4 linked regions of the Styela clava genome follow. The protein of the gene in region 4 purifies or fractionates together with the protein of the main gene of each other region. This does not show direct contact. Links are inferred from orthologs where the notes say so. Each region holds a gene or a part of one and is shown on either strand. Other genes may lie near its edges.

What was found.
Region 1: the proteins of histone-binding protein RBBP4 (region 4) and SWI/SNF-related matrix-associated actin-dependent regulator of chromatin subfamily A member 5-like purify together in Drosophila melanogaster (affinity purification with western blotting; 5 studies listed by BioGRID, with this or other methods). This does not show direct contact. The link is inferred for Styela clava from reciprocal best matches to the Drosophila melanogaster genes Caf1-55 and Iswi.
Region 2: the proteins of histone-binding protein RBBP4 (region 4) and chromodomain-helicase-DNA-binding protein 5-like purify together in Drosophila melanogaster (affinity purification with western blotting; 4 studies listed by BioGRID, with this or other methods). This does not show direct contact. The link is inferred for Styela clava from reciprocal best matches to the Drosophila melanogaster genes Caf1-55 and Mi-2.
Region 3: the proteins of histone-binding protein RBBP4 (region 4) and chromatin assembly factor 1 subunit B-like purify together in Drosophila melanogaster (affinity purification with western blotting; 3 studies listed by BioGRID, with this or other methods). This does not show direct contact. The link is inferred for Styela clava from reciprocal best matches to the Drosophila melanogaster genes Caf1-55 and Caf1-105.

Annotation. Positions count from the first base shown.
Region 1 is NC_135260.1:16,354,223-16,362,217, forward strand, and holds the start of SWI/SNF-related matrix-associated actin-dependent regulator of chromatin subfamily A member 5-like, read right to left. Parts: upstream 3,015-7,995; 5' UTR 2,928-3,014; intron 1,418-2,927; 5' UTR 1,299-1,417; intron 1-1,298.
Region 2 is NC_135252.1:12,201,498-12,208,637, reverse strand, and holds the start of chromodomain-helicase-DNA-binding protein 5-like, read right to left. Parts: upstream 3,003-7,140; 5' UTR 2,959-3,002; coding exon 1-2,958. UniProt on the Drosophila melanogaster protein: ATP-dependent chromatin-remodeling factor which acts in nucleosome-remodeling by catalyzing ATP-dependent nucleosome mobilization. Involved in regulating transcription. Plays a vital role in development.
Region 3 is NC_135250.1:10,849,919-10,857,923, reverse strand, and holds the start of chromatin assembly factor 1 subunit B-like, read left to right. Parts: upstream 1-5,002; 5' UTR 5,003-5,110; coding exon 5,111-5,236; intron 5,237-5,484; coding exon 5,485-5,611; intron 5,612-6,056; coding exon 6,057-6,171; intron 6,172-6,959; coding exon 6,960-7,160; intron 7,161-7,756; coding exon 7,757-7,936; intron 7,937-8,005. Other genes in the region: parkin coregulated gene protein-like, read left to right, coding at 237-386, 828-988.
Region 4 is NC_135252.1:3,759,068-3,766,395, forward strand, and holds histone-binding protein RBBP4, read right to left. Parts: upstream 3,022-7,328; 5' UTR 2,907-3,021; coding exon 1,809-2,906; intron 941-1,808; coding exon 761-940; 3' UTR 365-760; downstream 1-364. UniProt on the Drosophila melanogaster protein: Core histone-binding subunit that may target chromatin assembly factors, chromatin remodeling factors and histone deacetylases to their histone substrates in a manner that is regulated by nucleosomal DNA.

The sequences.
Region 1 (7,995 bases), on a different chromosome or scaffold from region 4:
TAGTAATTGTTACGGAAATAAACAAGGAAATCGATGCTTGAGGGAAACTTCATACCATTGAGGTGTATGGACCTTTCCCCGAGCATCGACTTCCTTGTTTACCTCGTGACATTGGCCAATCAGCAAGATGCAAAAAGTGACGTAACAATGCTTCCTTTTCGCATCCGCTCAAATACTTTTCTCACTCAGACATATTTTCGAACGTGGTCGTAAACATTACCTCGTTTTCGCGTTTTCGAAATCTATTCGTTAGTTTTCAGTTGTGTTTCGGAAACTTAAATATAATTTAGATAATTCAATGATCACTCTGTCTTCCTAGGAATTTTAATTTAATTGCAGTGATAAAAAAATCAGTGTAGAAATAGCTATGATAGACTAGGCTAAAATTCTTCACCGTACTTTTAAAAAACAGATTGTTGTATGCGATGACTCATAATGATGGTTTGCAACACATATCCCATTTCACAGGCGCGAACTCGTAAAAGCACTCTTAAAATAGCCCCGAACATTTTGCAATGGTAAACTATAGGAAGAATTTTTCGGAGGTCAAAGGTCGGGGAAAGGACCATATAACCCACAGAGATATATAAATATAGAGTGTGCTTCTCTCTCGTTTTCGCGGGGTCATATGAAGCCTCTCTCGTTTTGACGATATGCTTCCAACTTTTCCGATGCGCGCAATGCATTTCTTATGGGATTTGACAGGAATTAATTATTTGCGTCGATTTTTTTTGCATATTCGCAAGTTCTTGATTCGTTTCTCATTATATATCAAACGCTAATCCTACCCCAGCCCACCATACGGTCTAATTTTGGCAGGTATATGAATATGCGTAAGTCTCGGTTAATAATATGGCCAACATATCAGTCGAAAGCGAACAAAAACGACCACAGAACATTAGCCAAGATGGCTTATTGGAATCGATTCCCTATTTGCCCATATCTGGCCGTATTTTATCGCCGTGAGTACTTTGCGTAGCCTGGCGCTGTAGTGGCCTACCCGCTATTGGGCGGGAACGAAAAAAAAGCTTAATTTTTATTTCTAAAACATGGCCCTAGCCTTATTCACTGGATCGACTCAGCAGCCAGAATAAAACGGTAGTTGTGCGAATCATGTTATGATGAAATTTTGAGGTTGTAATTTTTAGAAAATGTTATTTGACACACAAACCAAAACTTATACTCAATATATTGAAAGTAATATTTGTATGTAGATTTTCCGAAAAAAATACAATATATCATTAATCTATACTATAGACATCTAAATTGAAAAGCTTTCAAATGATTTGGTTACATACTTGATCTTCAGACTTGATAGGCCTCCATCTCACTCAGTGATGAAAAGCTGGTACTTGACGAATTTCTTTTGCTACAATGATAAATTGTCCTGTCAACTTTCAAGCAGTGTTTTAAAAAGCTGAAAATCAATATATATGTCATGATTTTGTGCAAGCCAATTCTAAATTTGAGTTAAACTAAATTTCGTTGAGCCAACTATGTCATTAGGTAGTTAATTCAGACAAATGTTATTTGACAGAGACACTGCAAAGCAAAAAATAGACGTTAGTTTCAATAAAATACGTAACGGGTAAATTTCGACATTAGATTTCATAAAAGCCAAACTTTCCTCCGATTTTTTTTTAAATACACAAAACTAAGAAAATTTAGACGAATAAAATTTATTCAGCGATTGCCATTAAATTTCAAATATTATAGATTAACATAGAAATTGCTTTTCATCGACCTTACAGTTACAGGTATATGTAATCATTCAATTTCATAAATACAGCTCCATATTTTATAACATACCAGGTGTAGTTTTCAAACTGCACGAGTTGCAAATATTAGAATAAAAGTAAAACACCCAATGAACTTTTCGGACTTCTGCTTTAAAACACAATTATTAAAACATGTACAGAATCTAAATCTTAAATTTCGATATGCACAGGATCAAATATACAGCGTAACAATGTTGGCTTGCATCGAACTATTTAGCCTTTTAAACGTGAACGTGGGTCTTACTTTTTTGGAATTTTGATTCGAAAGACAATTATTAAAACTTGTGAAAATATAAATCTTACAATTTTGAGGGAAAACACACGATCAAATAAGTGGCAATGCCGACTTTGATCGCAAGACCCGAGACGCGGTGCGCTTGCATCTAATTGTTTAGCATTCTAAACGAAAACAGTGGTGTACAGGAATAAAATAGGCGTCGGAAGTCAAATCTTCTGCCAACGCTCCCGCCACGTTTTAAAATGACATATTATTAATAATCCATTTGGGGTTAGGAATGATTTAAAATTGAATTCCCAGCGCAATCTGCATTGCTAACTTAAACTGGATAATTATTAATTCTCTTATTTTGAACGTTGATAGCGTCTTTGTACAAAGATCCAATCTATACAAGGCGATCCGGTAGTATTCGTACCAAGATGGTGCACAACCTGAACCCTAACCAGGTACACATACTGTGTTCAGGATGTGCGCCATCTTGGTACGAATACTCTGGGAGCACCCTATACACAATAAAATATGAAAGGGAAAAGGCTACGGCGAATCTCTAATAAACCATTGATTTTGCGCTACATTTGCGAAAGTTTTGAAAGTTATGCTTTACATTCATGTAAATCTTGTCCTGTTGAATGCAGCTTACGTAGCGACGTAGATCAGTATATTACGTTTAAGTTTCTTAATATGATAAGTCTATGTATTGTCATATAGCTTTTAAGTTCAACCAGTTTTGAGGAAACGATGGAACCCGTTCGATACAAAAGAGAATCACCCACCAATCTAGACTTCTGTATTTGGTTAATAATTCCAATTCGTATAGGCCCGAAAACCTCTAATTTACCACTTATACAATAGAAAAATGAAAGCAATGGAATATCAATGAAAACAATAGGTTTAAAGAACATTTAGCTCACCTGAATATTGTTTCAAACTCGCTGTCATAACCCAACAGTCAGCTTGTCCATACATTCTACACAAAATCAAACCTTATCCTACGACGAACATTTGTGACTGCGATGTCGCTTGTGGCTTCCCGCGCACAAATATTTGACGAAAAAAGCTAACTGATTGTTGTAATCAAATATTTTTAACTGATTACTTTAATTACTCCAGGTTGCCGTTACGGTCCGATCACGCTTCTAACGCGTGATCTCAAAGTTGCAGAATGAAGATGACGGTTGGGATTTGCTTCATACATTTTCTGATCGCATAATACCTAGTTCATAGTATTTTTGGGGGTGTTTATCTCGGTGACCGTACATTTGAACCCACGTATATTTGAACCCACGTACATTTGAACCATGTACAAATATCCGTAAAACAACTAAATTTCCATAAGTGCAATAGTACGCAGGTGCAATTGTCGTGGGTTCAGACGTACGTGGTTCAAATGTACGTGGGTTCAAATGTACACGGGTTCAAATGTAATGGAACCGTTTATCTCAGATCTCACATTTTTACATCAGTGACGGGAGCTTAGTACAAAGAATCCAGCATTTCCATTATATTTGTCTGTTTTGTTTTTCGAGTAAACGCGCACGTGGATGTCATCAAAAATGTAACCTTCCCTCCACTCCATGAAAGAATAACGGCGTGTTTAGCGTTATATCAATGCATTCTCTAAATTAACGTACAAATCTTAGCTCATTGACTTTCGCAGTCAAGAATGTTTTCATACAATAACGTGACGGCGATGTCCTTAAAAGTGGAGTCACAATGGGACGTTGTTTCGATGCCTACTGCAGGGCTACTCAACTATTTTTATCGAAGGTCCGCAAATAAAACTTCAAAATTATTTGGGTCCGGTCTTTCCAGAAATGATATTTCGGCCTCCTTAAACGGGCACTTCCTCGACCGACTAATGGTTAGTAGCAAATTAAAATTGTTTATTATGGTGTTATAGTTCTTTTCGTATATATTCAAAACTATGAAAGTCATTGTATAATAGGAAATTCAAAAACTGGGGCTAATGATCCAAAATAAATAATTAGGTGCGGTCCTGGCCTACAGTAAAGGTAATTTCTCCGCCCAAACCAAACGGCAGAGATATAACATCAGCAACAGCATTAACCACGGTTCTATGTGAAGTAAATACGACAATTGACTGCTCAAGACAAGTGCATACCGACGACAACGACTGATTCACATATTTGGTGTTATGAAGCTCGTGAAGAGGTAGACTGCTATTTACGGAGCCCCACAATAAGAACGTAACAAAAACAAATTGTTACTTACAGATTAATATTAATGAGTGATTTGAAAATACGCTATTCAATAACTCGGATGTATTTGCTTCTTCTTTAATTTTATTAATGTCATTTTGAGTAAACGAATAGTTCGCGGAGACTCTATAGTTCTGTATGAAGCACTTTGAGTCTGTCTCTACAGTAGACCTCTTGGTAAAAAGCGATCATGATACAGGTATGTACGGCCATAAAGAACAATCCTGAGATTTCGTCATCCAGCGTAAGGGTATAGACGTATATTAATGTGTTTAGTATCTATGTCAGCCAGTGCACTGCAGTTGACTACGTTCGCGTTGAGTGGCGCATCGTACTAAGCCTTAGGACTACGCTTGATTTCTAACCTAAGATTACCCCGCTTAGATTCGCAGGTTCAAATCCAGTAGGGGATAATTTAGTACCAGAGGATTGCTGGCGGCTTACTCCCACTATCCCTACCCTAAGCTAGCGCTTCCCAAACTTTTTTCGCCCCGGAATATTAATAGTTTTTATGATGTAATTTAAGTTTTTTCTCTACTTTCGCTTGAGGCACATAATATGCAGCACCTACGCCAAATGGATTTTTCGAACCGTCAGTAAATACTTGTACATAGTCTCGATAGTTTTTCGTGTATATGGTCAAGAAATGACGTTTGAAGTATTGTTGGTGAACATGTTGTACCATAAATCGTTAACGTTGTATCAATTTGCGGTGGCTTTAAGGAATCTTGAAATTGACAACTTTTGCAACAAAGAAGTTGGTAAAAAAGCTGTTGGTTGTTTTCATAATAAACGTTGCAAATGACGGTTTGTAAGAAAAATATTCTTCCCACGACTGTTTGAATAATTGTGCTGTAATTTCGCTGTCACGAGGAATCATTCTGCATTTGTAATGTAGACATTTTCTATAATGTATAATATGTAAAGGCATTTCGTTACATTGGGATTGTAACGCTATAATAGGAGTACTTTTTAATGCAACCAAACATTGTGATTGGATTACAGCCATTTTCCGCAATATAGTCGTTGTTCTTATTGTTCCTGTTCTTTGACACGTTTTTAAAAATTCCAATTGCTTTGAAATTTTCAGTAGTTAAAGATGGAATTTTTTTCTAGAAGGCTATTACTTTTATTAGTTTCAAATATTTCTGTGAGCTTTATGAGATTCGTTTTTATTTTGAGCTATGACGTCATCAGAATTTGCCACCATATGGCGATTCCGCAAACATTTCAACGATATATTGGTCAGCAAAGTCGGGAGTTTCTTAATAAGGTAGACCAGGGTGGTCCAAACTCTGTCATGCTGATACATTCCGTGCGGCTCACAGAACAATTTTAGCGTATATTTGTATGTAATGGAGTAACGTTTTTTTTTAGATATTCCAACTGGGGTTGGGATCCCGAAATTCAAACCCTTTTTCTAACGCTTTGTGCCAAAACACTCCTCTGTTTACAAGCATCGGCCATGTGACAGTAGTGACGAAACGCAGAGCCGACTTAACGCCGCGTAATCCAGTTTTTTAGCTAGGTCCAGAAAACAAACTTAGACTGACTTGGTTGGTATTTGACGATGTCACTAAGCTTGCTCACGCTGCAAGTTTCTAAATTACTCAATATATATAACAATTCGTAATAAAATGAGTGTCGCAAGAAAGGTGACATGAGAGAACACGGCGGAAATGTATTTCCTTGCCCATCACGCAGTGTTTGATTTCAAGTAATATCTGTCACGAAAGAATATAATTTGAAGCGACATTAAACGCGAGATGCGCAAAATACAACGGTAATTCTCGGAAATTAACTTTAAAATATCTGAAGGCTTTATATATCTTCTTTAAACGAACGCCAACCATGCAACCTAATAATAGTCTGATTAGAAGATCTCGTTGTTTAATAAATTTAAAGTAAGTAAACTCGCGATATTTTGATCACTTTTGGTTTTCTCCGACTTGCGGCCCGCGAGACCTCGTCAAAAGTTTTTGCGGTCCTTCAACCTAGCAACCTTGAACCACTCTGAGGTAGACTACTAGGTACCGGTAAAATTTCAAACTACAGTTGTGACTTGTATCCTTTGGCATTTCGATTCACGTTGAGACTGGAGGCATGAATCTTTATTGTCACACTCCCTCAGGATTAGAGCTCAACCGATATATCGGCCCGATATTGCGTGTTTGCATATATATAATATCGGCAGTAAACGGCCAATATATATATCGGCTATATATAATAGTTAAAAAACCTGAAAAGGTTCGTAAAGTTCGTTTTATTTACTGTTGGTTGTGATTATTTTTAATGGATAATACACTTATGTGGTTTATTGTTTTTATAATTAAATTACACATGAGGGGGCACCAAAGTCTTCAGTGCTTAGGGCACCAAAGAGGCTTAATCCGCCCCTGCCTACCCGAGATATACCTAAAACATACCGGTAGTCCTAAAGGGCGCTTCAGAAGTGTGTGTACCAATATTGAGGTAAATAATATTGTTCGCCCTACTTTACATCAAGTTGTGTAAAAGGACTGAAGGGTATATTCACTTGGGTAACACACACAGTACCCGAACTCGTAATAGAACCAAAATAAGAAAAGTCAGAACAAAGTTATGGCCTAACGCCAACCTGGTACACAGTCTACGGCAGTATCAACTAAATTTCTCTTCGTCCTATACTGAAGACTCAGGTGAAATTTTCCCCGTGGAGGTTATTGCATTTTTGGGATACCAGGCAAAAACAATTGTTTCCACTTATATCTATTGTGCAATCGCCTGAACAACCAATTTTTTTCAAAAACGAGATCCACATCAGGCTCCAAAAATACTCGAATACAATTGTATCTGGTATGTTAGTCGTTGCCGAATACCCACAAAGTGTCGCATATACATCCATATGCAGCGCACTGGGTAGTAAAATAGACGAAAACTGGCCAAAACCATGAAAACGAACGCCAACCATGCAACCTAATAATAGTCTGATTAGAAGATCTCGTTGTTTAATAAATTTAAAGTAAGTAAACTCGCGATATTTTGATCACTTTTGGTTTTCTCCGACTTGCGGCCCGCGAGACCTCGTCAAAAGTTTTTGCGGTCCTTCAACCTAGCAACCTTGAACCACTCTGAGGTAGACTACTAGGTACCGGTAAAATTTCAAACTACAGTTGTGACTTGTATCCTTTGGCATTTCGATTCACGTTGAGACTGGAGGCATGAATCTTTATTGTCACACTCCCTCAGGATTAGAGCTCAACCGATATATCGGCCCGATATTGCGTGTTTGCATATATATAATATCGGCAGTAAACGGCCAATATATATATCGGCTATATATAATAGTTAAAAAACCTGAAAAGGTTCGTAAAGTTCGTTTTATTTACTGTTGGTTGTGATTATTTTTAATGGATAATACACTTATGTGGTTTATTGGACACGTAGTGGACATAACGATCGTTTCAATATTATGTTGTTGTTGTTCTTGTTCTTGTTATCCTTGTTGTTGTTCTTTGACACGTTTTTAAAAAGTCGCTTTTCTCTTCGAATACTGGACCAATTGCTTTGAAATTTTCAGTGGTTGAAGATAAAATTTTTCTCCAGAAGGCTATTACTTTTTTTTTCGCTATGACGTCATCAAAATTATTGCCATTGGGTGGCGCTACGTGTCCATATATTTGAGCATAGCTCTCTTGTTGTTTTTATAATTAAATTACACATGAGGGGGCACCAAAGTCTTCAGTGCTTAGGGCACCAAAGAGGCTTAATCCGCCCCTGC
Region 2 (7,140 bases), about 8.4 Mb from region 4:
CTTACGAAGCATCTTATGCAAAACAATGAGCTTTCCACTTGCTTTGATCAATTCATGACCCTCAAACGCACCGTTTGCCGTACGTGTAGCTTCCTCTGCAGCTTTATTAAACAGGTATGGATGGTTGCAACATTTCTTTAAATCCATCATAATATTAAGCAATGAAGAATTATTTGCTCCTCCTCTTGAATTTAGACCTTCAAAGTTTCTGGCGAGAATGTATCGATAAAATTTTCGTTGAAGTGGTGAAAGGTTGACTCGAACTATGAACTCACTTTTTGATGCAAGATTTTTTAGGACATCTGCTTTTAGTCTACGCAGCATGTGTGGTCCAAGCATGTCATGCAATTTCGAAATCTGATCTTCTTGTGATATATCAGCAAACTCATCAAGAAAGACATCTAGTTCATTGAACTTCTCTGGACATAAGAAATTCAGCAGATGAAAAAGTTCTTCTAGGTTATTTTGTAATGGCGTTCCTGTCAGAAGAAGTGTGAATCCAAAGCTATATTCAGATAGCACTCTAAAAAACTTTGACTGGTTGTTTTTCAGTCTATGTGCCTCATCAATACAAACAGCTGCCCAATCGACAGACCCCAAAGTTGTGTTATCGATGGAACACATTTCATATGACGTCAGCAAGACATGAAATTTAACAAGGCATCCGGTTTTCATTTTGTATGCTTTATTTCCTGATCTGATTGCATTGTCAGTGAATGAAAATTCATGTTCTCGAATGACTGCCCGAGAATCCTTTCCACCATAGTAAGCTACAACATAAAGTTCTGGTGCCCACAATTCAAATTCTCGTTCCCAATTGATCATAGTGGATAATGGTACCGATATTAAAAAAGGTCCCTTCGAATGACCTTCATGAACTAATGATTTTATAAATACAATAGTTTGAATAGTTTTTCCCAGACCCATTTCATCTGCTAAAATGGTGTTGGTACCTTGTGACCAAGAAAATCTGAGCCAATTCAGACCTTCTAGTTGGTAATCATGCAATGCAACACCAATATCTGTGATGTATGTAGGTTGGTCTTCGTACTTTTCAGAAGGATCAGGTTTGTCTTCTTTTTTTCTGTCTTCTCTGCGCTTTTTCTTTTTTTTTTCTTTTACTGCTCCTTCTATACTCTCTCTATGTTCATGATACTTTTTAATAGCATCTTGTAATCCAATGACTTCTTCATTGGTTTCCAATATCCACGAAGCCTTATCATATCCCAAATCCTTCCATTTTACTAAATATTGGATTTGGCCGCTTCTCCCTGCTTTTTTATGATTGATAATTCTGTGTATTGCAAGCCAGTCTGGATTTATACCATATTTGTAATACTTGTTCGCCAATTCTTTATTTGTCCACTCATCGTCCCATTCCAATGGTGTTTCCTCTTCCATATCATTACGACGCGTAAATGTTCTCCACTGATGAATGAAGTAAATTTCAAGTTGTAGCTCTGTTATCCATTCCACTTCCCAGTAAGATAGATGATGATATTTTACAAGAAATTCCCGCTGTCTATAACCCCACAACTTTTTCTTGCCTGTTTCATTACCTGGTCTATCATCAGGTACTTCAGTATATGGAGCATCTCTCCATCTCCAAGCCATCACCTTTTCAAGTCTACCCTTGGGTTGTGGGCAAGCACATCTTGGGCATGACCATTCACCATCTGGAACAACAACCATAGGCGGATTCAAACAATTTAAATGATAAGAGTTTGGACAAGTATCGCAGATTAGCAGATCACCACCATCCTTGCAAACAGTACAAAACTCCATATGATCGTCTTCTTCTTGAACCTCTTCCTCAACTTCTTCCTCTGAAAACTCTTCAGCATCACTATCTTTTGGTTTGATTCCTTGTGCCTGACAAACAGGGCAAGGCCATTTACCCTCTGGAGCTTTGTCTAATGGGGGATCCAAGCATACAAGATGGAAAGCACGAGGACATGTATCGCATAAAATAATTTCGCCACCTTGTTTACAAACATCACAGTAATCTTGGTGATCTGTTTCATATCCTTCTTCACTTGGATCTCTCATTTTAGGCTTTGTTTTCTTCTTTGTGCTTTTTATCTTTCTTCCCTTTGCTCCACCTCTTTTAGATTGCTTTGGTTTGGTTTCACCCTCTAAAACAGAAGCTGCCAAGGTCTCTGCAAAATCCATATCTGAATCATTATCTGATGGTGAATTTTCTTCTTCGCTCGAAGCATCTTTCTTTTTTCTTTTCATGGGAAGCCTGATACGAAGAGGAGCAACTTTTTTTTCCTTTTTCATCCCAAATTTTGGTGTGGTGCTACGACTACGGCTCTTTTTGTCCACAGGCACCACATCCACAGAAGCAGTGGGACCTCGCAAAACAGAAGGCTGGGGTGAATCTTCCATCTCAGCTGCCATCATTGTTGGCGTTGGCACACCCGATGATGGTGCATTACTGCTTGATTCCTGCATCTCTTGAAATCCTTCCAAAGACTGGAATTCCCTCCACAGCGCATTTATAAGCGGATACATTTTTGCTATTACAAGACTTGGATATAATGTAGCAAGTTTTGTTCTGGCAAACTGATTGAAAAGTCGGTAAGTTACATAGGTTTTATACTCTTCATCAGTATAATCATGCTCAAATGGAGGCAAACCCCACTCCTCACAAATCTCTTTAGATGTCTTTATATCCTCAACCTTCTTTTTTTTGTCCTTCTTCCTTTTCCTTTTCTGTTTTTCTCCATCGATGTTAAAAGACACTTCTGGATCACTTTCAATAGCAGATCCTTCGTTATCCTCATCGCTGGCTTCGGTCTTACGTTTTTTCTTTGCTTTTTTACCGCTTCTGTCTTTTTTTCTAGATTTTTTTCTATATTTCTCTTGTTCAGGAGTTCCAGGAAGACTATCATAACCCAAACCATCATTAGTTTCTATTTCCATGGCACCTTCATCGGTACCAATTTCAGCCATATTTTAAAATTAAAGAATGCAATATCTGTATAGAAATTGAAAAATAGTTGATTATGGTGAGCAATGAGGTATTAAATCAATCTGAAATTTGCTGATTCTATTAGGTTGGCAATAACCTACTTCAAAAAAACGCTATGTTTGAATTATTGATTGTTGGAAATAAACAAATTGATTTTCACAGAAACAGAACTGGTTTGACATGCTCTATTTTATTCGAGGACCCATTTCACTGGGGTCTCCAGGTACAAATATCCAATTTAATGTGAAGTCGATTAAACTTATTTGCTTGACAAGGATAAATGGGAGAAATATCTGAATTTATAATAATTTGAAAAAAACATAACATTTTTTCAATTATGAAAGTATGGTATGTGGCATAACCCACTTATTACGGAAACAAAGCTGTTGCAACATAAATTCTAAAATTCATAAATTATTCAACAGTCAACTTAGTCTAGGCTTACAGTTTATTCCAACAATTACCATAGATTGGGGTCTAGTGTAGTTTCGTACCTCATGTACTTCTGGTGGGCGCAACATTACAATTTTTGCATATGTCAATCCTAACCCCCACCTGACTGCATCATCACTACGACGTCACAGTGTCGCTATAAGGCCTTTAAACTAAACGAACTGTCACTCAAGACGCACAGACGATCATCCGAAATTGAGCAAGCTATTTCTCTCGTTTTCTCGTCGCAGTGATCCCGATATGAGAGAGATCGCTGCCGTTAGTGCGTTCTTTATCGTCGGCGCAGATGCCATTCAGGGCGATCGTAGGTATACTTTGGCAAGCTCTATGACATCATAGTGACGTAATTTTTGGATGGCGTAGTGGGGGTTAGAATTGACATGTGCAAAAATTGTTACGCTACGCCTACTAGTACTTGAGGTACGAAACTACACGAGACCCATAAATTGGTTAATAATTAAGAATTAAATTTTTTTAATTAATTAAAATTTTAATTAAAAAAATTTTAAAAATCCGAAAAATCGTTAAATTGACCTAAAATTTAAACAAGATCTGTCTTTGGGGCTCAAATTTTGGGTCAATTAAACGATTTTTCGGATTTTTAGGAAATTTACGTTATTGCGTTGTATAAAAAGCATTTCGTTGGAAAACTGATTAAGTTTTCTCCCAATTTCTTCATTTGATTGGAAAGATGTTGAATTCAGCTATCTATAGCCAAAATATTTTTTGAGCCCCTCAAGCGATTCTTGTACAAATTTTGGGTCAATTTAACGATTTTTTATATTTCTGTGAAGTTTTTTTCTAATTTCTTTATTTGATTAGGAAGATTTTGAATTCAACTCGGATCTTGTTCAAATTTTGAGTCAATTTATCGATTTTCTGTGAAATTTACGTTATTGCGTTGTATTTAAAAGTATTTTTTTAGAAATCTGATCAAGTTTTTTTCGAATTTCTTCATTTGATTGACCTCATTTGTTATTCACGTATACATGTTTTTGACATTTATACAACATTTTATTGCACAACTTACATAATTTTATTAGAGTATATATTCTTATTCTATTCACATCAGACTGGATACCAGTACTGTATTTTACACAAAATTTTTTAGACCGCATTTGCTTAGTAGACTACGATTCAATTATGTTTTATTCATAAATTTTATAATGAAACACTTTTTATGATATCGTATTTTTGAGCAGCAGGATTCCGCTAGCGTGACAGAGGTTCCAAAACACACAAGGCATAGTATAGTTCAATCAAAAAAAATATATATATTGATCCAGTTTTCAGACTTCTGATGATGATAAAATGAGATTTTGATAATTAACAGAATCAATCATTCCCTATCATGAACGATATATTAGATTCAGATATTTATTTTCACTTTCTGACTGAGTAAGAATCAATGTAGAATCTAAGATTAATTTCTGAATTTATTCATCTTTTTTTTCAAATGGTTCACTCAATGAGTGAATTTATTCAAATATAAAATGAATAATGTACAAAACGAGAATATCGGTCAAAGGCGGAAGACTTATCGATCGAAAGGTAGGGGATCCCCCAAAACAGCGCTCTCACTCCATAGTGACACCTTGTGTCCCATCACTAATTAATTAATAACTCGTTAATTATGCGACATAATTCATCCAAAATCAATAGGCTTCTGGTCCGACATATGATGAATGCACATGTAAAATCTGGAGCAGATTCAATCTCGCTTTCGTGAGATATAGCGTGCATCTAACAGACAGACAAATACCTATCAACATACTTACCGATTAAAATCGATAAGTAATAAATAACTTATCAGTCCATACCTACCCCATTTTACATCCATAATCAATTGTTCGAAGAGAGTTTTTGAACCGTCGCCTACAGACCAACCGTACGGTCTGACGGCAATTCAATACTGCGCTTGAGATATATCCACAGGATAAGGAGACAAATATCGATGGAAGCTATCTTTAATGGCTGGCGTGGCCATACGAATAAGACGTCTTATCGGTTTCCCTCTCTCCGGGAATAAATGTGGAAGTCTTTACTATTCCTGATGTGAGATTCAAACGCTAATCGATCTGATCTGATCTAACCTGATCAGTCTACCACTACTTTAGTTCAATATCGGCTACGCCACTAGTGGCGCGAATATGGCACAAGTAGAAGAACCCTAATGTGATTTTGGTAAAATAGAATATTCATGAATGCTTCCCCGGTCATCGATTTCCTTGACAAACCAGCAAAGAGTCAACGATGACGTAACAATTGCAATTTTTGTAGCCGCTCATACATTTCGTTCGCTCAGACCGTAAATACCTATTAATACGCTCAGACAAATATTCAAGCATGGTTGTAAACATTGCCTCGTTCTCGTGGTTTTGCGCGTTATTTGTCAGTTTTCAGTTGTGTTTACAAAAATTAGTTGTAATTGAAGTACTGTATTTTAGTTGTCATTATGTCTTCCGATGAGCTTTAGTTTAGTTACATTAATAAATCGTCCCGGAAAAGCTGCGATAGACTAGGTTGAAATTAGCTATTAATAAGTGTAGGCGGCAATTGGTTGTATATTTCGATAAAAATAATGGTTTTGAGCATGTAAATCAGTTTGTAGGTGACAACTCTCCAAAACACTCGCATAGGAAGAATTTTCCTAGGGTCAAGGTATGGATGTTTTCCCGAGCATTAATTTCCTTGTTTTTTTCCGTAACAATTGCAAATCAGCAATGAGTTAACAATGACCTAACAATTGAAATTTATTCCGTCGCTGAGACACTCCTTTCGCTCATGGTTATAAACATTGCCCCTTTTTGGTAGTTTTGCGTGTCATTTTTCAGTTCTTAGTTGTGTTTTATAAAATAATTGTGCATCGAATAACTTATTTGTCATTAAGTCTTCTGACGACCTTCAGTTTAGTTATAATAATCAAAAATCAATACCTCAAACGATGCGATAGACTAGCCTAAAATTAGCTATCAGTACCTATGAGCGGCAAGTGGTTTATTGTTCTGAATAAAAATAATAGTTTTGAACATGTGAGCCAGTTTGCAAGCAGCAATTCCTCAAAACGCTTTCAAAGTCAGCGTTTGGTAATGATACCGTATAGTGGGAGTCCTCGACTTACGACGCAGTTCAGTTCCTGAGACTCGGTGTAACCCGAATTTCAGTGTAAGTCGGAACATTATACAGTAGTCACTTTGATATGGATATGGTTAAAAGCGCATGTGACGCCAATATCAATTGTGATCAATTGTGAAGAGATGTCAAATTTGCATATTTTGTAAATTGGACTTCAATCAATCAATTTTATTTGGTCACTCTGATAGAATCAAAACACAAAACAACAACAAACAAAATACAGAGGACCTGGAGAACGGCCATAAATTATTAAAAAAGTAAAAAACGTACAAGTACGTGCCCGTACACCAAAAACAGTCAAAACACAATAAAACAAAAACACGATATAAAATCAGGCAATACTTCTATTAATCGATCAATCAATTTTATTTGGTCACTCTGATACAAAAACAAAACAACAACAAAGGGCAAACAAAATACAGAGGATCTGGAGGACGGGCATAACTTAATAATAAAGTTGAATACGTACAAGTACGCGCCCGTCCCCCCAAAACAGTCAAAACACAATAAAACAAAAACACGATGTGACATCGGGCAATATCTTTTAAATTGAAATGTGAGACTTGTATGTGCTT
Region 3 (8,005 bases), on a different chromosome or scaffold from region 4:
AATATTGAATGGCTGTGAAATTGTGAATTGTGATATTTGTCTATTTCTAATCAAACAAATTTTATTTGTTTCCTTAACTTATTCAAACAAGACAGTGGGTATTAGATGATTGTTTGATTTCAGCTTTTGTCTGCAGTTCTATTTTCGCATCGCAATTTGGCAATCTTATTTCATATTTTCACTTTGACATCTTATTTTGCTTTGAACTATCCATTTTATATTATTCTTTCTTTTAGATGCTTTAAATACAAGGAATCGCCCAGTCATATGCACGACACTCAAAGTTCTTCAGCATCTGGTTGTATCGGGTGATATGGTTGGAGAAGCTCTTGTGCCCTATTACAGACAAATCCTTCCCATTTTGAATATTTTTAAGAACAAGAATCGTAAGTCCGTTGAGTCTTAGATTTTTAAAATTGAGTAATTTTTTGTAAAAGAATGTAATATTCTTAGTTTTGTTACCAGTTTTGTTTTGTTGAAATATAACACAGCAAGCATTTCAAGGAAAATCCCTTGCTGCATCATTGGTGATAAATAATGATTTTAGTGAAACACATAACGTTGATGACATTTTTGTGAGTAATCTAGAGAGACATATTTTTAAATTTTTACAAAAACTTCACTTATTTATCTGAAATTACTCGAGTACTGTTTGTTATAATATGAAACTTTTTCTTCTAGTATTGAAGTTATTGTTATCTCTTGAGCTGTATTCATTTCAGGTTACTTCGAGCTTAGGCCTTGTTGCAAGAAATCTTGAAGCATGAATCCAAGATTGCACTATTTTATGTACTGGTAGTTAGCTCAATATTGTCATTAAATTCTAGGTAACTCCGGTGATGGAATTGACTACAGCCAACAGAAGAGAGAAAACATTGGAGATCTCATCCAGGAGACATTGGAAGCGTTTGAGAGACATGGTGGCGAAGATGCTTTCATTAACATCAAATACATGGTTCCTACATACGAGTCATGCATGCTCAACTGAGTTTCACCAAATTTTTTTCTTTTCTTTTGAAATGCTTTTATTACTTTCATGTTGTTGTACGTTTTTTAGACATTTTCTACTTGATCCCGTATTATCTATATAACATTTTCTGTATTCAACACTCAAAAAGGTATTGCTATTGCTGTGTTTAAATTGATAGAAGGTCATAGACTCGATACCCAAATAAATGCATTCCCTCCATCTATCTATGCTGCATTGTTTGTCAAAATTTCCGTTTTGAGGGTGAAAAAATATTTACTTCCTTATGTTCAGTCCAGTATTATCATCAATGGATGGTGTTTCTCAAGCACTAGTCGAGTATTGCTAATGCCTGGCAAAAAAAAATATTTGACTAAAAAATGTTACGAATAGTGTTGTAGATCACTTCTTTTCAGAAAAAAAAATGCCTTGAATTATAAGTAGTTCTTTTAAATTTTTGTACGTATTTGCATGTACAATTCAATAATATTGTGCTCAATAAACAGGCATTTTTCACCTCACAAAGTTACTTTTCTTTATTCGTTTTGTTGTGTGTCACAATTTATCAATCAAGGTACAGTCGAGTGAGCAGTTTGTACTAAGATTCGAAACAAAATGCAAGGCAGTTGGCACATCCTGCTTAGAGTTAGTAATGGGCATGTTATCCCAACTGTGATTAGCATGCACGGGTTCGCCGGTTAGAATCCCACGTGTGGTTAATTACGTGCATGAAGACTCCTCGCCATCGCAGGGTGATTCCCTTTACCGCTGGCTCACTTGTGATGCTCGATGAAGGTCAATTAGAATTGATTCAAATGTGAAACCAAATCCGCATTCAATGGTAGCATAACTTTTGAAACAAGTAATATTGTTTATCTGTTCCAAAGTTCTTCGATCCTTGGTCTACATTGCATAAGACATTGGGATTACAGCTTCTTAATATTTTGTTTTGAGAATTCTTTTTTTGGTGCACGATACTACTCATGGGGCCTTGTGGTTTAAAACGCGTCTGGTATTTAGGTTTTGACACTTTAAATAATAAATAGGAAAGCGAAAAGTGTGAGTGCTTAGCATGCAATATATCGGCGGAAGATAAATAGGGTAACAACGCAACGTCGGTGAAGCGGTTGCGCCTGCACAAAAACAACGAAATTTTTTGGGGACCGACAAAAAAGCTCGCGGACCAGCGGTTGGGAACGGGCAGAAAGCGTGGCACAGTTTTACTCTCCTTCGCGCCATAAATTTGAAGTTATAAACAGTTGCGGTTCCATTACATTTGAACCCACGGCAATTGGACCTACATACTATTGCACCTATGGAATTTTTTTTGTTTTACGGATATTTGAACCCATACTAACCCTAACCCATGGGGGTTTAGCACCCGAATATGAATTGAACCCGCGGATATACACATGGGTTCAAATGTACGGTCACCAACCGTTGCAGTTATAGGTTTAATCAGCTGTGTGGAGGCATCAATAGTACTATTAGAATCTCCACTTTTAATTCGTGTAAAGGGAAAGTGATAAGCCGACTTAATCATATGACGAACCACGGCATATCGTCCAGTCACCAGGGATTGTTCAGAGGCTTTTTCGGAGTAAAACCGGGGTATCTTTTACTATTTTCCAATCCCTTTTTTAATGTAGACTCGTTTACTCCAAAGAATGAAGATGATGATTTTATTTGTCAATTTGTTCGCTAAGCGTTATATCCTGCGTGGGTTCCAACGACTAACATACCGGTGGGTTCGCAGCATTTTGCCCAGTAACTAACATACCGAGTTTGGTTTTGCCATATAATTAAGCCGTCTTATCGGCTTTCCTCGTTCCCGACATAAATATGTGAATCCTATTGTTCTTATCCAAAGTATATTATTCGTATCCATTCCTCGTTTTTAATAAGTGTGTTATGTAATTGATATTGTGATAAATAACCTAAATACACTTCTTTCATATTACTGTATCATATTTATTTATACTATAAAAGGCGCAATGATGTGGAACAGCGCTGTGAGTATGGACCTTTCCCCGACCTTTGACCCCCGAAAAATTCATCCTATACTTCACCATTGCAAAATTTTCGGGGCTATCTAAGAGTTCTTTTGCGAGTTGGCGCTTGTAAAATGGGGTATGTGTTTCAAACCATCATTATGATTCATCGCATACAACAATCTGTTTTTTAAAATTACCGTTGAAGAGTTTTAGCCTAGTCTATCACAGCTATTTCTACACTAATTTTTATTACTGCAATTAAATTAAAACTCCTAGGAAGACAGGGTGACCATTGACATATCTGATTTACATTTAAGTTTCCAAAACACAACTGAAAACTAACGAATAGAGTTCAAAAATGCGAAAACGAGGTAATGTTTACGACCACGCTTGAAAATCTGTCTGAGTGAGAAAAGTGTCTGAGCGGATGCGAAAAGGTAGCTTTGTTACGTCACTTTTTGCAATTTGCTGATTGGCCAATGTCACGAAGTAAACAAGGAAGTCGATGCCCGGGGAAAGGTCCATACAAGGGCGGGAAGTTTCGGCAGTACGTTTTCACAGCTGATTGTTATGAACGCTTTTCTTTGATAATAGTGGAGTGAATTTTTTCGCGGATCCTCACGCAGTTAGGGAAAAGTTTAATTGTGGTTTGAAGCAGTTTGTGTGGGATGAAATATTAAGGCAAATTGCTTTTGATCCCTAATTCCGTAAATCATACTAAAGGAACGCCCAGCCAGCCAGCGTTCCTATTACAGTATTTGGGTCCGTCCTATCCCTGTATCCTGGTGTCCCAGTACAGCATTACGGTATCTAGGAATCTGAGTATTCATTGGTCATGTCTGCTTTATTCATTCATGTTGGGCTATATTAATCATATGATCCTGTTACAGCAGTACAGTGTTGGTCTCATTTTTTTTTGGGGACATTGGTGGTCCTATTCAGTGACGGGAATAAAATTAAGAAAAATACATAGATATAATGTCACAATGTTTTGGCAAAATTATTTTTAAATTTTTTCAATCTCTCTGCTTCTGCCATTTGAACTCTACCAATTCTGCCATATGCCTCACACACTGACACAGTCACATCCTGATGTAATATGGGCAAGGATAGTGATAAAAAAAAAATTACGCCAATTAATTCTACTTCATTTTCTAACTTTATCTTATTTATCCAAGAGTTCAAGAGTTTGTCCAACTGCCTGAACTATCAGTACTGTTGTTCCAGTAAATATCACAGTATCAGGAACAACTTGCTTTTACACAAAATGTGTATGATTATGTTTTTTCTGTTGTATTAAAAATAAACAATTGTTAAAAAATATTTATAAAACGTGTGTTTTACTAGAACTAAATAATCAGTGTCTTTCACATTTGTCATTAGTTGAACGTAATGCAAAAATATGGTTGGAATGTAATGCAGTTATTTTTGAAAATTATATTTTCCAAGTGTTAAAAATGTCGTAACAAGAATTAGAAAATCCCTTTCAGCAAGGAGAAATATAGAACAATTTAGACATAAACCTAGTTTTATAAAAGAACTTGACATAATTTGCAAGAATCTATGACTAATTGTATAAATTTTTCTTTTTCTGCTATCAATAATTGAAAAACATGTAAATTAATGTATATTTGCTGATAAACATGGGAAAATTTATCGGGAATCAACAATGGAATATTACTGTATTATGAATTGCTGGGTAATACTGGATGATATTTATGAATATATTTGTTTATTATATGTAACTATGTTTATTATTTTTTCATCATTTATTTATTTTTACAAAACTGTTATGAATCCACAACGTAGAACTATAAAAAAAAAGGACAACCAGACAACCTATTTATTTTATGTCTATTTGTTCTGTATTTTGAGGTATCTTGATCCATGATTGGAAGTACAGGAGTAGTAAGTAGGCTAGTACTGGCCGACTTAGTTTTTGTGAAGGAATTTTCTATGTTGTGCTGTTTTATGTCATACTGCAAGTACTGTCATATGTGTATACCCATAACTGTATAATTCTGTAATTTTTGTTTATATTTCCTGATTTCTATGCAGCATTATCATTATATACTTGTTAATGATTTATGATGTAGGTTATAAATGTATTTCAACAAATGGAATCTAACTTCGAAATTACATAGTCAGAATGAAAGTTACTACGCCAGAAATATCATGGCATGCAAAGGAAGCTATATATTCCGTTGATATTCAACCTAAGCAAAAAGATCAACCACTTCGTGTAGCAACTGCTGGTATTGATTCAAATGTCAGGGTATGATTTTTTGTCAACTTATGGTGTATGGGAATTAACATACAATAATATATCTTATAATAATAATATCTTTCAAATAACATTGATTTTACATCGTTTTTAATCTTCGTAAGTGCTTTCTCATTTTAAAATTCATGCATATCTAATGATCTAGCATAGCACAGTAAATCTAAAACATGTCCAAATTTTGCTTTATACTTGAAAAATACCAAATTGCATGATACATTTTTTGCCTTGAATGTTTTCAGATATGGGAACTTAAACCAGAGCTCAAAACTTGTGTGACATTTCTTTCAAATCTTACTCGACATGAAAAAGCAGTAAATATTGTTAGATTTTCGAAGTCGGGAAGCGTACTTGCTTCTGGAGGTGATGGTAAGTCATGCTAGGATTTCATTTCATTCATCATTTCCAATTGAAGGATCTTTGCAATCGAATCATTTTTTCATCTAAACTTTCTGGGTTGCTGCTCGATACCAGCTTTAGTTCACCACTGCTCCCTATTTTCTTTTAAAATTATGTCATCAACATTTTCATATAATTTTGTATTTATATCGTTTTTTAATTTACTGGCTGGAAATAATAAACTGATCTGACTATGGAGTTTTTTCAGAAATATAATAGTAATGCAAGGTCACGAAGACTTGCTCAAAAATCAAATGAAATTCGTGTTCATGCGTGTGTTGAGTTTCACTTTGTCAGAGGCATTTGAGGTATTAAGTTTTAACTGACGATTCTAATTATGATTCTTCGAAACTGACCCAAATACAATTCAAAATATATGACATGCGATTCTCTTATTTTTATCTTCTATCTTTAGACGGAACAATTATTCTCTGGCGACTCAGTGATAAAAATGAACCGCCAAATATATTCGATGATGATGCTGATATAGGAAAAAATATAGAAACATGGAATGCTTTTAAAATGCTCCGGTATGCTAGAGTTTAATTCTTGTGTTGCATCACTCTGTTAAAATTATAAATAACGTATATAACAATATGCCTCCTTCAAAATATAATTATGGTAGTTTTTTTTCTTTAAAAGTTTGCTCAAAGCAAGTTCATTTACAATTACTCAGAAGTAAAAAAGAAATCTTTGAGCCAAGTTGTCGGTGACCACTCAAATGCCAAGCTGCCTGGCTTATCAAAGTTATATATACTTGTGATAGTGCATTAATCCAGTAAATAGTGGGGGACTTGAGACTTTGTTCATATTATCTTTACACTTAAATTGAATCACCAAAACGTCATTTAATCCCTTCATCAAAATAAAATTTCCAGCGTGCAATTTAATAGCAACAATAACAGCAGTGTAAGAATCCATAAAAACAGGAACAACATTCTGATTTAATCTCAGAAAGGAGGGTCGCATCGTTTCTGCGATATTGAACCTAGGTAATGTAGATGACTGACAGCATCTCAGATCATCGTCATAAGAAAAGAAATGCTAAGATGTGGACATCTGAATATTCCTTAATATTGTTAAAATCCTTCCTTCATGGGTCATTTCTCCCAGTTTGGGAAGCACTGATCTAGTCTATATGATCAGTACAACGATTATAGTGGAAAAAAAATTTGGAATTAAAATTTTATTTGTCTTGAAGAAGATAAACAAATGAAAGCTCACAACCAATCTATCTATATATGCTCTGTGTCAATGAAATTCAATTACCCAACATATTTGGTTGTCTCAATATTTAACATCTGTCTATTTTTCATAGAGGACATGTTGAAGACATCAATGATTTAAGTTGGTCAAATGATGGGGATTTTATCATATCTGGGTCTATTGATCACACTGCAATTATGTGGGATGTTGCCAAGGGATCAAAACTAAGTATTTTGACTGAAGCTAAACATTTTATACACGGAGTCGCTTGGGACCCATTGGATAAATATGCTGTTGCTCTCAGCTGTGATAGGTATGTAAAACACATTTCTGTGTAAATTACTTACTTTGAAATTATGCTGAATTTCACTGATCGTCTCCTTAGAGTCCTTACCTCTGATCGTTTTATGTGTAGGCGATGTGGGTTCGAATCCTGCGGCATATGGTCATATGATAAAGAGGGTCGCTGGAACCTATTGGCATTTATACCTCCTATGCACTCCATATTCGTTTGACACTTGAATGCCCATAATGAATCAAATCTTCAAGTGGATTTAAAATTATTTATATTCATGAATTTGGTATAATTTAGAATTATTATCATTTTGAATGATTTGATCAATCGAAGTCTTACAGTGTGAAAAAAAAGACGTTCATTTTATTTTTAAAAACTGTAAAAAATGCAAAACCGATCAATTCATTATTTCTTAATGAATATGCATTGACTTGTACATGTGTTATGTGCTGAAAAAATGACCAAATTCAGAATATACGTATTCGATATTCTGGATCCAAAAATATTATTTTACAATATGTTCACAAACACAATAATAGATTATACTCTTCAGCCACCCTTGAATGAAGTGCAAAAATATGGTTTTCACGTAACATGCAACTTTCTATTCTAAGGTCTATGAGAGTATACAACACACGAACACGCCGAATTCTTCACAATGTATCCAAAATGGTTTATCCTGAAATGGCGGATGACACTGCTGACAACAGTCAAGTTGATAATGATGATGAAAATGATGTTTCTGCCGTAAAACCTCAGCGTATGTTTCATGATGAAACTGTTGTCAGAAGAAGGTAGCCTATTTACTTTGTTGACATTGCTTAAATTGGATAGGATTTTTCCTATTTATTCTGAGAGAGAGG
Region 4 (7,328 bases):
TATTGCATTTTATCGCCATGATCGTCAGTAAAACAACATTTAAAGTATTTCGCGGCGGTGGAGAGTTAAAAATTCATAAAACTGCAGACCTTCATATATTGCACAACAATGTTATTCATTGGCGTTGAGTTTCTCCGTGTCTAATAGAGCTACAAGTGTGAAGTCATCGTCAAAATAAACAGCAGGGCTTATAATTTTTTCCTTGTCAAAAATAATTTCACGCGTTTTTTTTTCACATTATATTGCTCTACATCGAGACTGAATTTTGGTTGGTGGAGAAAAGGCTGGCATGAGTAGCCTAACAATCCTGCAGATATAATCCAGACCACTGAGATTCAAAACTATTTAACTTAACAGTAAATGCTTTATGTGTTTAGAAACATGTATTTGAGAACAAAATACAGTTGTTATTTGGCAAAAATCTAACATTACAGACACAATCACTGGATAAGCATGTTATTGTCTACACAGAAATTGGCTGAAATAAGCAGGCATCAAATGTTAAATGCGGAAACATTGTTTTGCATGGGTTGTTTCATTACTTTAGTTTGATAAGCAGCATTGGGCTATCACGAGTGATGAGTATTGCTCTGAATACATACAGCAAGCAAGCAAATCATTCTGTTGAAAATTGGCTTCCTTGCCTATTGGAGTGCCATTGTTGATTTGGTTGAAGAAGCATGGAAGGCTATTATCACTATATTTGCCTTTGATGCATTACGAGTTCTGGAGCCATCTGCAAAGTACACATTCGGCTGAATCAACCCGCTGTCTGCTCTAAATCGGAGCATCCAGGTTCTTGTTCTTCATCGTTGTATATGTTTTCAGCCATCTGCCACACCTGCATGATGTTATCCTCTGACACAGAACATATTACCCATGGTTCTTTTGAGTTCCAGGAAAAATCGGAGATCTTGGCTGTGTGGCCACCATGAATGAACTGACAAAACATACGGTAATTTCTAATTAATTTTTTGAAAAAATTCAGCAAATAACAACATGAAATTAAAAATAAAAATGCATTCCAAGCATTTTCTGTGACATTACTGCTATACTTCAGTGACCAATTACTTATGTGATTGAAAGTAGATACAAAACTATATTATATTTCTCTGAGCAGTAACAGACGGCTGACAATCGCCTGGCATAAATAATTAGTAAAAATGAGCAATTTGCATGACACACAGAAATCAATTGGCAAAAGTCATAGCTTATACTTTAAATGAAATTTTTACCTGAAATATTTGTATATGGATGGAAATGATAATAATAAACAGGCAAATTAATTTGGGCATATTATTTTGGCCTCATTAAACTGTAGGTAAACAAAGCCCACCTTTTATTTACATACAGGGTGATCCAAAAAATAACAGAGCTCATAAATTTCTTAATTACTATGAAAATGAAGAAAACTTATTTAACACTTCAACTTCTGTTTGTGTATAATTGTACCCAAAAGTTTCAGTGATCTGGGATGCTTTGGGCAAAAGTATGTTCCAAAAGATCTGGGTTCTGTTTTTTGGAACACTGTCACACTGGAAACATCTCATAATTTTGTTCTACCTATCATATATACTTTTAGTATATTTAACAATATTTGGATATTTTTAAATAAGAAATATTGAGCAAATATATTACTACAGCTCAAAATATTGTACAATGCATTCCAAAATTCAATTCCACTTTGCACAGGAGCAGATACTACATATCTAGCTATGGCACTTTTATTGTATAATTTATTCTTGGTTAAACTGATGTGATCAACTACTGAACAAAAAAAATTAACAGAGTGATAAAAAAGTACATACCAGTAGTTCTGGAGGACCATCCTCCGCGTCTTCTGCGGACTGTTCTTCGCCAATCTTACTTAGATCCCAGACATTGAGTCTGCGATCAGTTCCACTTGATGCCAGGATAGTTTCATTATGTGGTGACCATTGAACTTGGAATATTTCATCCTTGTGTGATTCAAATGAATGAAGCTTGAGCTTAAGATTTCTCAAATCCCACAATGCAACAGTTTTATCAGCTGAACCAGTGGCAAGAATAAATTCACTGAAGGGGTTGAATGATAAACAATTCACTTCGGCAGTGTGAGCCTCAACGATATGACTTGGTTTATTGGTACTTTGTGCCCTTGTATCCCAAATAAGTAATTTCTGATCATCTGCTACCGATCCGAATAGACTTTCATGAAGGAGGTGCCAAGACACATCTTCTACTACAGCAGTGTGACCAGTAAATACTGATTTAGCATCGAGCTCACGATTTTCTTTTAATTTGTGACCCACGTCCCACAGACATATAGTGTGATCATCTGAAGCACTCAACAAGTGACCAGTTACATTTGGATTCCAAGATAAGCCATAGCCCTCTTTCTGATGACCTTTTAAACGAATATCAGGTTTGCAAACTCCACATGGATCTGGTTTAGGTGGATGTTTGGTGATATCGAAGACTAGGACATCGCTACTTGGTGTCTTTGTGCCGATGATACACGGCCTCTGAGGCATGTAACGAGCTCTATTGACCTCTCCTTCGTGGTTAATTTTTGTTTCTATCTCAATTTTCCCACTAACTGAACCAAAACCACCAAATTCCCCTCTTTCACTATCATAATGAGATGCATCAAATGTAGCATCATCTGTGGGAAGCTGAACGCTCGCAATGATCATGTGATTTTGTTCATCTGAGGTATGTGTCCCCAAAATGAGCTTATGAACAGCATAGTCTTTCCCATCTGCTTTTGCTACATCAGGAAGCCATTGAACTGTGAGACTTGGCCATTCTAATGCATGTGTCATTACCAGATCATACAAAAATGGTGTGTTCTTTTTCCATATCTTATATTCTTCATTGATAACTCTTTCTTCCACTGCCTCATCAAATGTTTCTTTTTCAGCCATAACAGCCTTCGATTTTGAGTTAAAATGTCTAATTTGATCAATGCTCTATAGTAAACCAGAAACTATTGTAATGTATAACCTTTTGTGCATACATAATAGGATTTTTATTCTGGCGTGAGTAAATTCAAGAGCTAGAATTTTGTCCTTATCAATAATTTGAAAAAATAAGCAATTCTACTAATTTTATTCCGAATAAGTGAATATTATCTCCTTACAAGATCAATTCAATTCATCAAAGAATACAGCTTTGGGAGGGTGGAGGGCAACTTGTCACAGCGCTAACTCGCCATTGGCAACTCGCCTGCTCCATATTTGATTATGATAAGACAGTGCAAGAAGAACTATAATATGCGGTATAGAGATGTAAAGGACCACACTATGATTATTTAACACTAATATTGCATCAGCATTTGAAACTTTGAAAATTACTGATATTTCAGCGAGTCGAGTAAAACATCAAAATTATATAGACTATTCAAAATGACTTTGAGTGAATAACAACAACTGACAAAGCTGAAAGTATCTCAAATTATGTTTTTAAAGTAGTTAAATTGTAACGAAGCTCACGATATCCAAGGAATTCAAAGAATGGCAGTGTCACATCATTATCATTTGAGAATGTTTGATAAGAGATTTGTAGCATCATCCAATTTCAGGTATCCAAATAGATCATATTAAGCAATAACAAAACGAGAATATCGGTCAGAGACCAAAGACTTATCGATTGAAAGTTAGGGGATCCCCAAAACAGCGCTCTTGCTCCATAGTGACACCTTGTGTCCAATCACTAATTAATTAATAATTCGCTAATTATACGACATAATTCGCCCAAAATCAATAGGCTTCTGGTCCGAAATATGATGAATGCACATGCAAAATCTGCAGCAGATCCAATCTCACTTTCGTGAGATATCGCGTGAATCTAACAGACAGACAAATATCTATCAACATACTTACCGATTAAAATCGATAAGTAATAAATTAGGAATTTAGTCTTGCTATTAGCAACAAATACTAAAATAAAGTATGCGTACATTCGTTATATATAGTCTAGATACCTAAAACACTTACGTAAACTGCGAAAATATGTAACTTGTAAATAAAATATTCCACCCCTTTTATCTGTGCTTCTATAAGAAAAATTCAAAATTGGGGTTATATATATTATATTGATTATAGAATATTCAACTTTCAACACCAAACTGACAGTGCTATTTCAGTACTGCAATATGTAAGTAGTCTATAGACTAGATGATACAGTAATATGACATGATAAAGGATATGTGGATCAACGGATGTACTTAATGCAAAGAAACCCGAAATCTGATAAATCACTACCGGTATCTGAAAAAATCCCCCTACAGCCCTAACAGTGGCAGCGCAGCTTTGGTTTAGAGATGTTACTTGATTTTATCTATTTACCGTTAGTCTATATCAGGGTGGGCAAACTGCGGCTCAAAGAAGATTTTTGTGTGGCATGCAAAAGCCTTGAACAAATAGCCTACTTGAAAACAAATAAAAGTCATGAAAAAAATTACTACAATTCTGTAAAATTCGATTCATAACAAGCATAGCCTATCCGCATAAGTAATACCTCTGGCTCTGGGAATGTCAAAAAAATATACCGGTAACTTAGATGGTTAATTTATCAGTTTGTAGGGTTTGATGACAATATCAGCGGTGCACTGCAGTTCTCAGATGTCTCAACATCTGGTTAAATACAACGAACATTCTATTCGTCTCTGATTAAGCCTAAGCCGTCTTACTGACTTTCCTCTTCCCCGGCAGCCCGGGATAAATACGTACCGTACATCCTAAATCCTATCAGGACAGATGCTTAAGGCAAGGCAAAAATGAAATAAAAACAGCGCGAAGCAGGAATGGAGGATGTTTCCTCAACCCTTGACCCCAGAGAAATTATCTTAGTACTTTATTTTGGAGGTGGTTTGTAAAAAGGTGACAACTCGGCCCTAATTTGCGGTGGTTCAGAATCACCGCACCTTTATAGCACGCGAAGCGTAGGTTGAAAAACAACTGGGACATGAATAATGAAAAGCAGCACCCCTAGTCCCCACCCATTAAGATTGCTCTATCCCAACTTCTATCTTTTTGGCATATATTCGTGAATTAAGGTCCTGTTCGCCAAAGTTAATATAAAACATTCAGCCCTATCAGACAAAAATAAAGAAATCTTGATCTGTCAAAAATGCGTGTTTGTTTGTGAAAGAAATAATATATGCTGGTACGTCGAAGGGCCTACTGTTTCACTTTTCAATTGATTACCCTGAATAAATTTGCCCAAGACGGGCTTATGTAATTAAATATTATGATTTTTGAGCGTTCTTGTAGTGGGACACAAAGTTGTTAGCTGCAGTTAGGAATTTTGCCATGTTTGCAGTACAAGTTTAGTATGATAATTTATAATACATAGAAATGAAACATATGAGTAATAAAAATGTTGAGGAGTAATAAAATGGTGATGAGGTTCCTCTGTAATTATCTATCTACAGTATATCCATACCTACGTCTATATCTATACCTACAAAAAAAAATAGATTTACTGAAACTCATGGAGCCATACATGACCGTGTTGTCTGTATGGTAAACACTCAGTTCAGTGATTCAGAAATTGAAAGGGAGAAGGAAGTTGAAGACATAGTCCAGAAATCAGGGCATGATTCGTGTGTGTTATATTCGTCAGAACAAGTATCGCTGGCTTCAGACAGAAATACAGATGATGAATATATTAGATGCTCAGAATGATGCCACCAATAACTAGCACATATATAGCGTCAGAGTCTAGGGAAGTATTTTCCACACAGTCAGCATCTAAGACAAATATGACCTTGAGTTCAGAAGCAGATAGATAGATGTAGAACATCAAGAAACAAGTCGTCATCAAACATCTATGACTGACATTCAAATGCGATGGAGAGCAAGATCTACACTACAAGTTGCGTGTAACTTCAAAAGGCCACCTTTACCTCCTCAGCCAGAAAAGACATCGACGTGTTTACAATATTTTCAGCAGTTTTTTGATAATAATAATTTAATTGATCACATTGCAGAACTGACCAATTTGTATTCGGTACAGAAAGTAGAATTTTCCGATGCTACAAACCACAACGAATTCGAACAATATTTGGGAGTAGTTGGACATCCATGATGGGCATTCTGGAATTACCGCGTTATCGAATGTATTGGGCACAAGAGACTAGAAAACAACCAATGGAAAATGTAAGTCCAAGAAAATGTAATTCTATTCCTCAAGAAGAAAAGCATGCACTAGATCAGGGGTTCCCAAACCTTTTCAGCTTGCGGCACACTAACAACAACATTAAAAAGTCGCGGCACACTTATTACAAATCAGTTTTATTAAATCCCGTATTCGTAAATATTATGTGTATCGGCATTAAATATGATTAAAACAAGATTTTGTGGGTCAATTGTAACGAGTCTTTATCGTTTTTAGTCTTTTATTTCTGTCAGCGCATGAAATTAATATTTGCAAAATCATGAAAATGCGAATGGGAAAAATATTTTGTTGTACTATATGTCTATATATATATATATTGCAAGGGTGGCCAACACGCCGATCGCGATAGACCGGTCGATCGCGTTTGATGTTGAGTAAATTTGCCAAAATTCCAAGCGAGCAAAGAATCGGACTTGAAGAATATTGTAAATTAGATAGAGAAGTTTGAGCAGTCATGGAACATTTATGGTTTGAGATTGTTCATTATTCGCTGTTTAGATAGTACATGGACACTTTCATTCAAGGTTTTTGGAGAAATTGAAAACACTTACAACTGAAAATTAGACAGGCCCTAGATCTGAAGTGTATGATTTCAATAAATCTGAAATAAATGATAAAAATTCTACTCCGGGTACAATTACATAATCAAAAAATTAACAAATTGAATGGAATATGAAAAATGCCTACTTTTGTGGCAATTTCATTGAGAATGCGCCCGCGGAGCCGAGCTTATTGGCAGTAGTGGAATTTTTGTATGCGTGTGTGCGGTTATCTGCGTATTCGTATTCATTACTTGTCGATTTTAATCGGTAAGTATGTTGATAGGTATTTGTCTGTCTGTATGTCTGTTAGATGCACGCGATATCTCACGGAAGCGAGATTGAATCTGGTCCAGATTTTGCATGTGCATTCATTTTATCTCGGACCAGAAGCCCATTGATTTTGGACAAATTATGCCGTATAATTAGCAAGTCATTAATTAATTAGTAATGGGACACAAGGTGTCACTATGGAGTAAGAGCGCTGTTTTGGGATCCCCTAACTTTCGATCGATAAGTCTTCGGTCTCTGACCGATATTCTCGTTCATTTTTGTTTATGACATTACAACCGATCAGTCGATCGCGAGCTATTTTGAAAATTTCAGTCAATCGCGGTCGGAAGCAGG